2 linked regions of the Macaca mulatta genome follow. The protein of the gene in region 2 binds, or shares a complex with, the protein of the main gene of each other region. Links are inferred from orthologs where the notes say so. Each region holds a gene or a part of one and is shown on either strand. Other genes may lie near its edges.

Region 1 (8,045 bases), on a different chromosome or scaffold from region 2:
ATGCCTTCCAGCCAATTGGATGGTACTTTTTCCAGGCCCACCCATGGCCACCCATGGGCCAACCAGCATGCACTTCCTCCATTCTGAGCACATGAAAACCCCAGACTCAGCCAGCCTCAGACACTCCACAGGACCTGCCTGCAGAAAGGAGCTACCCACTTCAGGCCTCCCGAGAGCTGTTCTGTCACTCAGTAAAGCTCTTTCCTGCTTGCTTACCCTCCAGTTATCCACATAATCTCATTCTTCCTGGATGCGAAACAAGAACTTGGGACCCGCCAAACAGCGGGAGTGAAAGGAGCTGTAACATATTCCTGGCCAGCTCAGCTGAGCTGCGAGTGGTAACACACTCCCAGACTGCAGGAGTGAAGAGTGGGGACCCTTCTGGGGAACCACCCTCCACCAGCGGGTAGCTGCGCCACATGACAGGAAGCAGTGGCGGGGCCCAGCCAGCCCAGGAGCCACGGGCCAGAGCCGGGCCGCACAGGGCGGTAGGACTGAAAAAGCTGTAACATACATGGACTGAAACACGCCCCCGCCCCCAACATGCCCCGCCCCTGCTCCTCGGGAGGTGAAAAGCAGCAGCCCTTTTTGGGACCCAGACCTCGGGGCTCCCCAAGCCAGGGCGGTGACACACTGTAACACCCTCTATGGGGCTCTGTGGTTCCTGGTGTCTCTGAGCTTTCGGCCACCACTGTGTTCCCCTTGTCCAGATGCTGGTGCCCAGAGCAGAAGCCACTTGCGGTATGTCTGGTCCAGCTGCTGCCTTGCACAGAGCCAAAGCCTGTGCCGGCGCCTGGAGCTGCCCGTGCCGGGGCTTGGAGCTGCCCACCCGCTGCAGCAGCCAGCATATCTGGCTGTGTGTAGTGGTCGGACCCTGTGCTCACTCACACACCCCTCACGGCTCCACACCTGGCACGCCTTTGGCAGGCGTGGTATCCGGGCCCGTAGTGCGAGCTGAGCTCAGCCTCCAGACTGAGCGGGCAGAACGAGCCCAGCAGGCACAAGCAAAAGTCAAGCACAGGCGCTCCTAGCCACAGAGGTTTCCGCATGGCAAAGTGACACCCTAAGGTTCTTGTGACAGCTGGGACTATAGGCGCACCCACTACACCCAGCTAATTTCTTAAAACATTTTTGGCCAGGCTCGGTGGCTCATGCCTGTAACCCCAGCACTTTGGGAGGCTGAGGAGGGCAGATCACCTGAGGTCGGGAGTTCAAGACCAGCCTGATCAACATGGAGAAACCCGGTCTCTACTAAAAATACAAAAATCAGCCAGGTGTGGTGGCACATACCTGTAATCCCAGCTACTTGGGAGGCTGAGGCAGAAGAATCACTTGAACCCGGGAGATGGAGGTTGTGGTGAGCCGAGATCGGGCCATTGCACTCCAGCCTGGGCAACAAAAGTGAAACTCCGTCTCAAAAAAAAAAAAAAATTTAGAGATGGGGTCTCACTATGTTGCCAAGGCTGGTCTCAAACTCCTGAGCTTGAACAGTCCTCTTGCCTTGGTCTCCCAAAGTGTTGGGATTACAGATGTGAGCCACCCTGCCCAGTCAAGAAGCCTAACTAACTGAGCTGCTTCTCTGTGCCAGGTGCTTTCACACATTAATGAAAGTCACTCAAATCTCCCAGTTCTCTGAGAAAAACCTTATTTTTTGTTTTCATAATAAGGAAATTGAGGCTGAGGAAGAAAGTGATTTTTCCAAGGCTATACAGAATGACTTTTAAAAAATGTAAATCAGGGGCCGAGAGCGGTGGCTCAAGCCTGTAATCCCAGCACTTTGGGAGGCTGAGACGGGCGGATCACGAGGTCAGGAGATCGAGACCATCCTGGCTAACACGGTGAAACCCCGTCTCTACTAAAAAATACAAAAAAACTAGCCGGGCGAGGTGGCGGGCACCTGTAGTCCCAGCTACTTGGGAGGCTGAGGCAGGAGAATGGTGTGAACCTGGGAGGTGGAGCTTGCAGTGAGCTGAGATCCGGCCACTGCACTCCAGCCTGGGCGACAGAGCGAGACTCCGTCTCAAAAAAAAAAAAAAAAAAATGTAAATCAGGTAGGGCACAGTGGCTTGTGCCTGTAGTCCCAGCTATTCTTGAGGCTTGGGCAGGAGGATCACTTGAGCCCAGGAAGTTGAGGCTGCAGTGAGCTATGATCACATCACTGCACTCCAGCCTGGGTGACACGGTGAGACCCTGTCTCTACAAGTAAATCAAATCACGTTGCTCCCTTTCAATAGCCTATCATAGCACTTCTAGTACTAGTTGAGAAGACGGAAGCACAGAGAAGATAGCTAACTTGCCCAGTCACAGCCAGGAGCAGATTTGAGCCTAGGCACTGTATCCGGAGGCTGCACTCCTAACCATGAAATCTAAACTCCTTACCTTGGCTCACAAAGTCCTATATGCTCTGGCTCCTGCTTCCTCTCTGGTCTCTTGTTATACCACTCTCCCCAGCTTCCCTGGCCTTTCCTGTGTTCCTAAATTGTCAAGGTCATTTCCCCCAGGTTCTTTGCATGAATTGTGAAAAGAAAAAAATTGACTTTTAATTGGTGATTTGGCTTTTATTTGCTAAATTTGTTAAATTTGGGTTTTATTTGCAACTCTAGAATTGGGCAACATCTCATTCTATAAAACGGAATGAGTGTTCAAATAAGCTGAGCAGAGGAGATTAGTTTTACAGACAGAAAAGGGCTGAGGAAAGCAGAAACAGAAAACAAAAAGCAGATTGGTTGTTTCAAAGTTACTTTCCTTGTAACTTTGAAGGCTAAAGCAGAGGGGACTTCCTTATCCTGCCAGCTAAAACTGGATGGTTTGGAGATTTAAGTATCTCTCACTCTTCTGATTTATCTGAATATCAGATAAGCAACTTAGTTTCCACTTGGTGATGTGGAACTTTAGCATGAGTGACTCCATTTTGGTTTTGTCTGTTGGGCTTGGTGCAGGAGCCCTGTCCAAACCAATGGCTGCCTTTTTTTTTTTTTTTTTCTTTGAGACGGAGTCTTGCTCTGTTGCCCAGGCTAGAATGAAGTGGTACAATCTGAGCTCACTGCAGCCTCCACTTCCTGGGTTCAGGCAATTCTCCTGCCTCAGCCTCCCGAGTAGGTGGGACCAGAGGTGTACACTACCACAGTGGGCTAATTTTTTCTATTTTTTGTAGAGACAGGGTCTCCCTATGTTGCCCAGACCAGTCTCGAACTCCTGGGCTCCAATGATCCTCCCGCTTTCTCCTTCCAAAGCGCTGGGATTACAGGTGTGGGCCTCCGCGCCCAGCCCTGCCTCCTATAAATTTTATTTAACAAACTGTTCCCTCTAATTGCAATGCTCCGCCCATAGTTTTCACAAGCTTGGCGTCATGTCACTAATCCCAACTCAAATGTCACCTTCTCAGGACACCCCTGACAATCCAATAAAAGACCACCTAGTCACTACCACGTCACACTTTCAATCTTCTAAAGAACTTTTTCCCTATTTTTCTTGTTTGTTTTCCTAAGACTCTCTCCCCTGCAGCGCCATCAGCTCGGGGAGCCACTTGATCTTGGTCACTGCTCTATGCCGGAGCCTAGGAAGCAGCCTGGCCCAGGGTGCCCGTTCAAGAACGCGTGCGGAGTGAATGAACGACTAGTGAAGGAGACTTCAATGACGCAGGCCGGCATTTGCTGAGCGCGAGCCCCGCGCCGCGAAGCATTCTGGGAATCGTAGTTTCTCCGTGCCGCGATGACTCGCAGAGCACAGACGCACTCTGCGCCGGGAGGACAGAGCGGCCCGGTCGCCGGCGTGGTTTCTCCGTCCTGCTGCAGCCGGCGGGAGGCAGCCCGTCCAGGCGCCCGCTAGCTTCGGCGGCGACCCAGACGGGGAAAGCGGAAGGAATGTCGCGTGGTGGGTCCGGGTCGGCGGTGCAGGGAGCCGCGGGGCGGAATGTGGGGTATGCCAGGACCTCCGGAAGGAGGTGCCGGAGCCCAGGAAGCGTTTTCTTCCCCATTTACCGAGTATAGCTCATTTCCCCAGACCCGCTCCCGCTGCTCTGAGTAAGGGGTGCTCATCCCGTTTTACCGGTAGCTTAGCTAGCTTGGAGAAGCTAAGTGGTTTGCTAAGTGGTCTCCCTCCTAGAAGGTGGCAGAGCCTGTCCTAGAACCCGGGCCTGACTCGAGGTCTAGTGATTGCTCTTTGCAGTCGCAGCAGCAACCCCATACCTTTGCTTGATCGCAGATTCGTCAGGCTGCAGCCTGGTGGCTGGTCGTTAGGCCCTGCCCAAGGACTTAGCTCCCAGCCCCGCTCATCACTGGCCTAGTCTAGCTTGCCACGCTCAGTGCCACACTGCACAGCCCTGGACGGGATGCTGAGTGAGGTCGTAAAGAGAGAGCGTTGCACCCCCGTTAACTCAGGGTCTGAAAATAAGGGATAGGTAAGACCTAGTGCACTAATACAATATCGGGGTACGTTGAAATCAAAGGAGAGTACCTTCAGTGGAGTGTGATTCTGGTAGCTTTGTTTCGCCTGTAGTTTAATAAATGTGGAAACAGGTTCAGAGACATTAACTTTTCTAGGTTTACATAATTAGGGGTGGAGTGGGGATTCCAGCCTGGGTTTCTCTACCTTCAAAACCTATGTACCTTATATACTACCGGTTGGGTTTCCCCCCCCCCCCAATTCATTATCTAGATTTATTTTCTTTCTTTTTTTTTCTGAGAGTCTCGCTCTGTCACCCAGGCTGGAGTGCAGTGGCACAATCTTGGCTCACTGTAACCTCTGCCTCCTGGGTTCAAGCGATTCTCCTGCTTCAGCCTCCCAAGTAACAGATTACAGGTGCTCCCATGCCCAGGTAATTTTTGTATTTTTAGTGGATACTGGGTTTCATCATGTTGGCCAGGTGGGTCTTGAACTCCTGACCTCAGGTGATCTACTCCCCTTGGCCTCCCAAAATCCTGGGATTACAGGCGTCAGCCCCTGCGCCCAGCCTCATTACCTAAATTTCTACTTACCTAACAGCTGCATGGTATAGACCAATAGTTCCCAGAGTGTGGGCCCCTGACCAGCAGCATCAGCATCACCTGGGAATATGTTCGAAATGACTCTCTCTGGCCTCACCTCAGACCTCCTGAGTCAAACTGGGAGTGGGGCCCAGCAAGCTGAGATAACAGGCCCCTCAGATGATTCTGATACACACTGTATGTATCAGATGATTCTGATAATGTATGAGAACTACTGGTGTCAAGCACCGAGTCTCAAACCTTCACGTGTATCTAATTCACATACGGGGTCATGTTGAAATGCAGAGTCTGTTTCCAGTCAGTGTGGAAGAATGGCAGTGAGCCACTCAGTGAAGGAGTGGATTATCTCAGAACAGGCCTGGGGAGAGACCTGAGATTATGCATTTCTAACCAGTACCCCTCAGCACTTTGGAGTTACCTGGGGAGCTTTTTTTCTTCTTCTTTCTTTTTTTTCTTTTTTTTTTTTTTTTTTTGAGATGGAGTCACTCCGTCGCCCAGGCTGGAGTGCAGTGACGTGATCTCGGCTCACTGCAAGCTCTGCCTCCCATGTCCACGCCATTCTCCTGCCTTAGTCTCCCCAGTAGCTGGGACTACAGGTGCCGCCACCATGCCCGGCTAATTTTTTTGTATTTTTAGTAGAGATAGGGTTTCACCGTGTTAGCCAGGATGGTCTCGATCTGACCTCATGATCCGCCCACCTCGGCCTCCCAAAGTGCTGGGATTACAGGCGTGAGCCACTGCGCCCGGCTGGAAACTTTTACAAAATAGGAAATCTGGGCCCACCCCTCTAACCAAATGAATCAGAATCTGGGGTGGGGAAGGTCGAGTTAAAAACTCGCCAGATGATTCTAATGTACACCTGGTGTGAGGTTTGGAGCCAGGCGGCTATGGATTTTTTTTTTTTTTTTTTTTTTTGAGACAGAGTCTCTCTCATGCAGGCTGGAGTGCGGTGGCATGATCTTGGCTCACTGCAGCCTCCACCTCCCGGATTCAAGCGATTCTCCTGCCTCAGCCTCCGGAGCAGCTGGGATTATAGGTGCACACTACCATGCCCGGCTAATTTTTGTATTTTTAGTAGAGACAGGGTTTTACCATGTTGGCCAGGCTGGTCTTGAATTCCTGGCCTCCGGCGATCCACCCGACTCAGCCTCACAAAATGCTGGGATTACAGGTGGGAGCCACCATGCCTGGCCTACGGCTACGGATTTGAATTCCAGCAATTCCACTTATTTACTGTGACCTTGGTCAAGTTACCTCTCCTAGCCGTATTTTTTGTTTTTAAAAGTTATTGATTTATTTAAATTAATGTATTAGGAATGATACTGACTTTTGTTGTTGGTCCTAATAATTTATCTTGAATTCTCAATGTAGATAATCATATAATTGACAAACAAGGACAGTGATCTTCCTTTATAATTATTGTTTCTCTAAATTCTTTCCCTTCCCTTCTTTCTGTAATCGTTTTTTTGAACGTTGCATTGACCATTACCTACGTTTTACTGTTGATTAGAAGCCATAAAAGGCATCCTTTTCTTGTCCCTGGCTCAATAGAAATGATCATCATTTTCTTTATTTTTTGAGACAGAGTCTTGCTCTTGTTGTCCAGGCTGGAGTGCAATGGCGCGATCTTGGCTCATTGCAATCTGCCTCCCGGCTTCAAGCAATTCTCCTGCCTCAGCCTCCTGAGTAACTGAGATTACAGGCGTGTGCCACCACGCCCAGCTAATTTTTTGTATTTTTAGTAGAAATGGTGTTTCACCGTATTAGCCAGGCTGGTCTCAAACTGAGTGGATCTCGCTATGTTGCCCAAGCAGGTCAGCAGAACTCTTGGGCTCAAGTGAAGCTCCTCCCTCAGTCTCCTGAGTAGCTGGTACTACAGGTGTATCCCAGTGTGCCTGGCCATCCTAGCCATATTTTTCTCATTCATAAAATAAGCATAAGTAATCCTTGGCTTGCAAGTTGGTGTGAGGATTCCATGAGACATGTGCGGGAAGTATCTGTGTCCACAGATACAAAAATTGCAGAGGTGGTCTGTGCTGGGAATTTTGTTTGAGAACCTGGTGGAGGTGAGTTGGCAACTGTACCCCCTACCCTGCTATAGCTGCCATCTGTGTGCTCCTGTCCACAGCAAGCAGGCAGCTGGTGTGGAAGAATGGCACTGAGCCATTCAGTGAAGGAGCGGACCATCTCTGAGAACAGCCTGATCATCCTACTGCAGGGCCTCCAGGGCCGGGTAACCACTGTGGACCTGCGGGATGAGAGCGTGGCCCATGGACGCATAGACAATGTCGATGCTTTCATGAACATCCGCCTGGCCAAAGTCACCTACACGGACCGTTGGGGGCATCAGGTCAAGCTGGATGACCTCTTTGTGACAGGCCGCAATGTCCGCTACGTCCACATCCCAGATGACGTGAACATCACCTCGACCATTGAGCAACAGCTGCAGATTATTCATCGGGTGCGGAACTTTGGTGGCAAGGGCCAAGGCCGGTGGGAATTTCCCTCCAAAAACTATAAGTGAGGCCCTCAGCAAGCCCTGGCCCCAACTCGGCTTCCTCCAGTGTTCTCTGGAGCCAGCTCCCTGCCCTCACACCCTGTCTAGAACCCGAGAAGAGAGCAGGGCCAGGCCAGAAGCTGGTGTCCAACAGACACCACCTGTCAAAGCTGCGTTTCACAGGGTTCCACCTCCCAGACTCCCTCTGGGACCCAGAATCCTATCTGTCTGTGGCCTTGGGGTAGGTGACAATCCCCCTTTTTGATGATCTGAATCTCTGACTTATTGATCATGGAACCTGTCAAGTAGTTTTCAACTCTCCCAGTGAGGATAATTAAACATGCTCAGTCTAAGCCACCTCTAACTGTCTCCATTCCTCTTGCAGTTGTGTTCATTTTCTTGTGAAACCCAACTTGAATACAAACAGGTCCATGCCCCAGGCCTTCCCTTCTGTGTGCTGGGCTCCCAGACCGTCCTGTGTAGTCGGGGGCAGACTCAAGCTTGGCTGCACATTGGAATCACCTGTCCCACCCTCAGAGATTCATATTTCGTTGGTATGGGGT
Region 2 (8,075 bases):
CCACAACCACCTATTCAAAGAAAATTTAAGGACAAAACTGTATCTACATATATATCTCCAAATATACAAAGTTATTAGCTCATTAGGGCATAGGCAGCTCCCCAGATTCCATAACCTATTAAGGGCCCAGAGAAATGAAACCACAAACTGTAACAGTCACCTTATGAGTCTGCAATAGAAAAATATTTTTTCTTTTCTCTGAAAACAGTTTTAGTTGCCATTCTATAGAAGGGTGCCATGACAGATTTAAAGCACAATGTTTGAATCAGTTACCTGGCAAAGGCACACCAGTGTCTTCCCTATTGTGATGCTATGTCAAACTGGCCAACACACACACACACACACACACACACACACACACACACACAGCAGTGTGGTGCAGAAATCATCTGAGGCTATTCTTTAGTTGCACTGGAGACAGCTGCAATGAGCTGAGAAAAGTGACAAGGTTGAATTTTAAGCTTGGCCTTTTTTGAAGCCTAAGTACCCCTGTTCTCGGTTTTATGTAAGTCATACTCATGCACTTTTGGCAACCTCTGTGTAACAGAGATGCTGTTCAAATTTGAGAGTTCACTTTACTGCTGTATGCAGGGCTCAGATGTTCTTGATTTTGCTTATTTTCTTGCTCTTTATTTGCAGGTAGTGAAATCAAAGTTATCCAAAGAATATCACTTTATTAAAATGAAAACATCAAGACACCATATTGTGGGAAATTATTTCAGCAATCAAAGTAAACTACAACAACAGGACTCGAACAAATTTCCAATCGTGGTATTATGTCAGAGGCCCAATAAATCAGGTTTGTTTTGAAATCCTTCTCAGCAGGATGTGTGCGAGTAAAAGGAGTGTGTAGGCTCCCTGCAGAACTGAATTTGGAACTGGAGACAAGCCATTCACCTAGACAGTGGTCTAGAAGTCAAATCCTGCATGTCACATGCATTTTGGATTGACCACACACACTTGTTCATACCGGCACAGGCTGCACACCAACACACTTGTAGCTAAAACAAAGTAATGATAACACGTTTTCTCACAGCTTTATAATGTCAAGATGTTAGCTTGAATACACCAGTTCGTTTCACAGTGACAGATATACCTAGAAAAAGCTTGCTCAAAGCATAATTATAAACCAGAACCACTGTGGATCAGGTATGGTGCTGCGATGCTAAGGAGAAATATAGACACTAGAATTATGTGGAAAAGAGGATGATAATGCTCTTTAGTCTTGTCTTACCGTTCTCTATAGGCGCCTCAATATTAAAAAGGAGGAAAAGCAATTACATTCCACTTGCAAGTAGAGCTTGTGCTTGAGTTCTTTACATGGAGAAAATGTGGAATCAATGATGGCTTAGGCTTAATGATTATGAAAAACCTTTCCTCCTATGCTTTTTCTTTTTTTCTTTAGTATTCCCAGTATTGCAACAGCCTCCTATACTTTTATTATTACTTTTTTTTGAGACCTCTTATCACCTCTGTAGACATCCCTATGATGTCCTATGATCTCGGCTCACTGCAGCTTCCACCTCCAGGGTTCAAGCGATTCTCGTGCCTCATCCTCCTGAGCAGCTGGAACTAGAGACAGATGCTGCCACGCCCAACTAATTTTTCTATTTTTAGTAGAGACAGAGTTTGACCATGTTGGCCAGGCTGGTCTTGAACTCCTGGCCTAAAGTGATCCGCCCACCTCAGCCTCCCAAAGTGCTGGGATTACAGGTGTGAGCCACTGTGCTTGGCTACTTTTAAAATTTTATTACTGCAAGGAAAAGAATAGGACTGCTCCACAAGGGACTTCAAAGAGATTCTATGACAGAGATACAAAGTGAAACATTTTATGGTTAAAACACCATTACACTTAATTTTGCACTCCTTCCACACTGTCCTGTCTGTGAACTTGGATGGGTAACTTGGATCTGAATTGATGAAATACAGCATTTTAAAGTCAGCAACAAAATGTAGCTCCTCCTGTATTCTTCATTATGTTTCATTGATGATATGACCTAACAAACCTTCTGTTTGCTGTTACGGCCTGATGTAACTTACATTTTATGTAAATATTTTGCAAAGAATTAAGCATTCTCAAATGCATAGCCATTTTTTTCCAGAAAGCATTTGTATATGTCCACAAATAGTTTTATCTTACTGTTATCTATATTTTGATTTTTCTGAGCAACTGTATCCAATCAGGGTTTAGAGTAGGCATATATATATATATGTATATATAGTTTTTTAAATTAAAACTGTGGCATACATATAAAATATACCTAGTTCTTTTCTTTTTCCCTTCCAACTTTTGTTTTTGGATCAGGAGGTACGTGAAAAGTTTGCTGCATGTGTAAATCGTGTGTCACTGGGGTCTGGCACACAAATTATTTTGTCACCCAGGTAGTGACCATAGTACCCGATAGGTAGTTTTCTGATTCTCACCCCCCTCCCACCCTTCACCCTCAAGTAGGAACTCTTTCTTGAATAAATCCAATCCTCACCCATGTTTCTGTTGTTTTCTTGCTTTCTGAAGGTCAACTCTGTGTGACGTCAACACCTGTCTCTCATGTACACCCAACTGTCTGCAGTGCCATGGTGAAAATTTTCAGTATGTAGGACACATTCTCTGAGATCTTAATTCCAGGGGTATACTTAATCACAAGAAGTTGACAAAGCCGGTCTTCACACACTGTCATATCATTACAGTGAAGTGCTCTACAGGGAAAGCCAAAACCACCCACCACATAGCAATACACAGTAATATTCCTTTCCCTTGATAATCTTGGTAGCAACGCAATAACTGGTAAAATAGAAATAAATGTTGCAATGAGACTTAAGAGTGCATTTCAACTAGCTAATGGTGGCAAATTGCATAGGCAAATTAAGGTCCCCCAAACTGCTCTCGTTTTGGGAACATGCATACTGTCTTTGTGTTACAGCCGGGAAAGCAAGCCGGGGTAAATCCTAGCTTGGGCAGGGATGCTGTGGCATGGTAAGACAACCAGCAAAGGCACACATAACAGCACACAGCGTTTCAGGATGTTTCTCTCTTAATAAACAAATTTCTAGGAAGGAAGAAAATCAGTCCCTTGCTTGGCACACCTCTCCATCCAAAAGGCAGTGACTTAATAAGGTAACAATTGAATTACCAGGATACAGATGCTTTGAATAGCTAAGTAGGTCATTGTGTTCACAGGGCAGATGTCAGAACTGCTTGCCAGATGACAAAAGAGATAACCCTAGGCTGTTTTTATTCCATTTATACAAGACTTAACTCACACATTAGAGCCTCTGCTGTTTACAGCTTTACTCTAAGGATCTATTAGGAGGCTCCAAGAAATTCCCTTGTGCCATTTACACCTTTAGAACTTAAAATAATCTGCACATATGGTAATATGAGCCTGACAGACACAGTCCTGCACCCAGCCAGGCAGAGTGGCTGTAAAACAGCGTCTGTGTTTTAGAGGCATTCTGTGCCTGCTGCATTTCAGCACTTGTGACTTAGTAATGTGAACATATGTGTATCAAGACCCTGCAGCCCTTCTGCTTATCGCACTCAAGAAGGAGCTGTCAATGTACAGGGGTTATGGGATTATGCGCCTGTGCTATCTGAACAGATCTCCCCACACTCCATCCGATCCTCCTCAAATCCCACTGACCAAATACTCTCCTTCCCCTAATATTGGCTGTGCTCTCCCCTCACGTCTCCTTTTCCGCCCCACCTTACCTCTCACTGTGGTCTCTAAGACCTCTCATCACCTCTGCAGACGTCCCTCTGATGTCCCCCAAACTCTGTAGCCCCCGCCACCTCTCCAGGTCCTCCATCAATCCTGTAGACCCTCTCCGCAGGCTCATCACCTCTGACCCTTCCATGGGCCCCGATTACCTCTACAGACCTTTCCCACGGCTTCTTATCACCACTACAGCCTCACCACTCTCCCTCTGTTGCTCCTACAGCCCCTTTTCTTACTCAGAGGGACCCTCCCCACGCCGTCATTACCCACATTACTCAAGCAGTTCCACCCCACAGTCGCTGCTGATCCCCGCAAATCTCCAAGGCGCTCCCACAATCCGTGCAGACCCGCGCCCGGCCACCGCCGCCCCGCAGACGCCCCCTCGGCCGCCAGCTTCCGGACGGCGGCGGCCCCGCTTCCCGCCCGGACCGCGGACTCACAGGGCATTCGCGTGAGCACGTTGCGTGGCGCCTTCCTGCTTCGACCGGGACCCCTCCGGCCCGCTCCTGCGGCTCCGTCCCCTTCCTCTTTGGCCACCATGAGACGGCGGAGACGCTGGATGCGCTCGGGGTCCGGGGCGGGCGCGTCCGGGCGGCGGCGAGTCCTGCCTGAGGGCCCGGGCGCGGAGGGAACCCCCGAGCCCGCGGCCGCGCCCCGAGCCCGCCCGCGCCCGCGCCCGCCGCCCCGGACCCCGGTCCTGAGGAAGCTCTCGTACTCCGCCACGTTGTTGAAGCAGGGGGCATTGGGGTAGGGGATGGGAGGCAGGCGGGGCGCGTACAGCGCCAGCAGCGGGTCGAAGCTGTCAGAGCTGACATCCAGCCGCGGGCTGGGCGGGCGCGCGGGACTCGCGGCGCGAGCCGACCTCGCCCCCCGCTCCCGCTCCTCCATGTTTGAAAGGCCCGCAAGCCGAGGCCGATGGGAAGAAGGAGCGGAGCCGCCAGAGGGCGGCACTGCGCAGCCGCGGCGCGGGGTTGCACTGCGCCGACGCGGCCGCCGGAGGGCAGCACCTGTCCTCGTTCCACCCCGGCCGGGGGGCGTGGTGCGCGGCTCCGACCAGCCCGCGCCTCGCACCGCCTCCGCCCACGGCTGACAGGTTAACGCTGTCGGCTGCTGCTTGACCTGCTCCAATGCAGTTTCCCCATCTATATCATTACCACTTAGGGTGTTTGTTAATACTCTGGGTTCCCCGGGAATAAGCTCGGGATCGCATCCTAGCTTGAGCTGCAGGAAACGTCTGGAGGAAGGCAATGAATGTCTCAATTTGCTTCCATGCTGAGTACTACTGATGGGGTAGGAAGAATAGCCTCCTTGGGCTCAAAGTATTTAGCGTCTTTCTCATCTGAAATATGACATAAATAGTACCTACCTTATAGAACTGACCTCAGGATGGGGAGATACTGCCTACAGAGCTCATAATAGATGCATGTCGGCCAATACTGGGTGTCTGTCCTCCATTTCCTATACACTGTGCATAAACAAATTTGCGCTTAGTATCAAAGAAAATTAATTATATCACTGTCTTTCTAAGCATTGCTAAGCAATTGGAAGAAACGAGGATCCAGCTCTTGGAGGAAACTATGGAAAATTCACAAGACCTGATCATACCACTTGCTACTTTATAGTCTCAGTTCGGCAAAATATTTTTTGGTTGATTTTAAAATGACAGTCTACTCTACACAGAAGGCCCAGATACAACCTTCTCATCCATCAGAGCCAAAATGTTTCCACTTACCTACAGGCCACACATCACTTGCCCATCACCACATTCTTGAACTGCCATCAACTAGTGTTCTCTGTACTAGTTGCTTTGTGTACATTTCAGTTTCCTTAAGACTTAGAGAGGATGTCTCCAAGAGAGTACTGGAGAGTACCTTAGACAGCAAGATGAAAATTAATATACAACTGTGATGTATACCTTGGGATGAATGCATTCTACTGCAAAGATAAAACCATCAAGCAGGCCGGGCGCGGTGGCTCACGCCCGTAATCCCAGCACTTTGGGAGGCCGAGGCAGGTGGATCACGAGGTCAGGAGTTCAAGACCAGCCTGGCCAAGATGGTGATACCCCCCCCCCCCCATCTCTACTAAAAATACAAAAAATTAGCCGGGCATGGTGGCACGCACCTGTAATCCCGGATACTCCGGAGGCTGAGGGAGAGAGCTGCTTAAACCTGGAGGAGCGGAGGTTGCAGTGAGCCGAGATCGCACCACTGCACTCCAGCCTGGGTGACAGAGCGAGACTCCGTCTCAAAAAAGAAAAGAAAAGAAAAGAAAAACCAAGCAGTGGCTTCTAATTAGTAGCAGTACAGGTTTCTTTATGGCACAGGTTTTGAACGCAGCTTATCACTTTATTCAGAACCCCCTGCCTGAATAAAAAACTCGAAGCTGCAGAACTGCTGGCAATTCAACAAATGAATGCTTATCCCCACATCATATAACAACACTGAGTGATAGCCTTTATAGTGTCATTTAAGACCCACAGAAAGCACGTTTCTCTAGGTGGTTTTCTTGAAAATTTGTACTCTAATGCCTACTTTTCTGTATTTTGATATAAAATGCTGTCAACTTACCATTAAGTTAAAATTGCCAATCAAGAGCTACATTATCTTACTTCCCACCCAGCCTATCACAGTATACCGAGGGCCTTGCTGCCCAAGGTGCTGTATATTGACAACCATACATATCAGAAGCCTTTGGGGCTAAAAATTGGATTACTGGCTGGGTGCAGTGGTTCATGCCTGTAATCCCAGCACTTTGGGAGGCTGAGGCGGGCGGATCACGAGGTCAGGAATTCGAGACCAGCCTGGCCAATGTGGTGAAAACCCCCGTCTCTACTGAAAATACAAAAATTAGCCAGGCGTGGTGGTGCATGCCTGTAGTCCCAGCTACTCAGGAGGCTAAGGCAGGAGAATCACTTGAACCCGAGAGGCAGAAGTTGCAGTGAGCTGACAGAGCGAGATTCCAAATTTAAAAAAAAAAAAAAAAAAATCAGATTGTTGAGCTTCAAACCTTCCTGGGGGCTGGGAGGAGCCAAAAACGTGCATTTTAAACAAGCATTCCAAGTAATTTTTTTTTTTTTGCATCCAGAAGTTTGTGAACCACTGGTATGATGAGGGTATGTGTATCCTGGGCTACCCGAAGATATACACAAAAGTTAGATATCATATAGTCTATTTGTCTAAGAAAAATAAATGAAAAAGCAAGCCAAAGGAGTTGACATCTTTATTTCTTTCCTCAAAGAGATTTTAGCAATTACCAAACAAGAACCATATCTCCTCTTTCTGTGGAGTGAGAACAGGAAGGGAAAAAATGGCATCAACAGATGGGTTGTCAATTAGTGAGGGATGAGGCCAGCAACCGCCCTTTGAAAAATACGTTTTCTTCTTAGATGTAAATTCTGCAGTGCAAGACGAGGCACTGGGACATGGGTTGTCGCTTACTTTATTTATTTATTTATTTTTTAAGATAGTTTTGCTCTGTCACTCAGGCTGGAGTGCAGCGGCATGATCTCAGCTCACTGCAAAATCCACCTACCAGGTTCAAGCAATTATCCTGCTCCAGCCTTCTGAGTAGCTGGTATTACAGGCACGTGCCACTACGCCCGGCTAATTTTTCTATTTTTAGTACAGACGGGGTTTTGCCATGTTGGACGTGGTGATCTACCCGCCTTAGCCTCCCAAAGTGCTGGGATTACAGGTGTGAGTCACCATGCCCAGCCATGTCTTTTTTTTTTTTTTTTTTGAGATGGAGTTTCGCTCTTGTTGCCCAGGCTGAAGTGCAACGGCACAATCTTGGCTCACCTCAACTTCCGCCTCCTGGGTTCAAATGATTCTCCTGCCTCAACCTCCCGAGTAACTGGAATTGCAGGCATGCACCACCATGCCCAGGTAATTTTTTGTATTTTTAGTAGGGACAGGGTTTCTCCCCATTGGTCAGGCTGGTCTCGAACTCCCAACCTCAGGTGATCTGCCTGCTTGGGCCTCCCAAGTTGCTGGGATTACATACATGAGCCACTGCACCCGGCCTCTTGATTCTCAATAGGGCCAAATAATCCTTTCCCTCCAAAATATAAAACCAGGACAAGAGAAAAATGTGAGTTCTCTCACCTATTCCCACTACCTTCCCCCTTCAGAGGCCAAGTTTGGCTGCATGTGATGATCCTTGCTGCTCTCTGCTGCTCCTCACCCATCTCCACTGACCCAACAGAAGGTGGCGCTACTAACATTATGACTCCCCTGACACCTGCTACCTGTTGATTAGCAGGAGCATGTTTACCCCTCTGCTCTTGAAATCAAATGTCATTTTTCTGATTACATAGAGGCTACGTGAGAATCTTTTTCAGGAAGTCTAATAGGAAAG

Evidence for each region. The genes of interacting proteins can lie anywhere in the genome.
Region 1: LSM11 (region 2) and LSM10 share a complex: the UniProt entries of both Homo sapiens proteins name them as parts of the heptameric ring U7 snRNP complex. The link is inferred for Macaca mulatta from reciprocal best matches to the Homo sapiens genes LSM11 and LSM10.

What each region holds. Positions count from the first base shown.
Region 1 is NC_133406.1:204,391,629-204,399,673, forward strand, and holds LSM10 (U7 snRNA-associated Sm-like protein LSm10), read left to right. Parts: upstream 1-3,785; 5' UTR 3,786-3,873; intron 3,874-7,113; 5' UTR 7,114-7,137; coding exon 7,138-7,509; 3' UTR 7,510-7,839; downstream 7,840-8,045. UniProt on the Homo sapiens protein: Appears to function in the U7 snRNP complex that is involved in histone 3'-end processing. Increases U7 snRNA levels but not histone 3'-end pre-mRNA processing activity, when overexpressed. Required for cell cycle progression from G1 to S phases.
Region 2 is NC_133411.1:166,619,936-166,628,010, reverse strand, and holds the start of LSM11 (U7 snRNA-associated Sm-like protein LSm11), read right to left. Parts: upstream 4,616-8,075; 5' UTR 4,605-4,615; coding exon 4,157-4,604; intron 1-4,156. UniProt on the Homo sapiens protein: Component of the U7 snRNP complex that is involved in the histone 3'-end pre-mRNA processing. Increases U7 snRNA levels but not histone 3'-end pre-mRNA processing activity, when overexpressed. Required for cell cycle progression from G1 to S phases.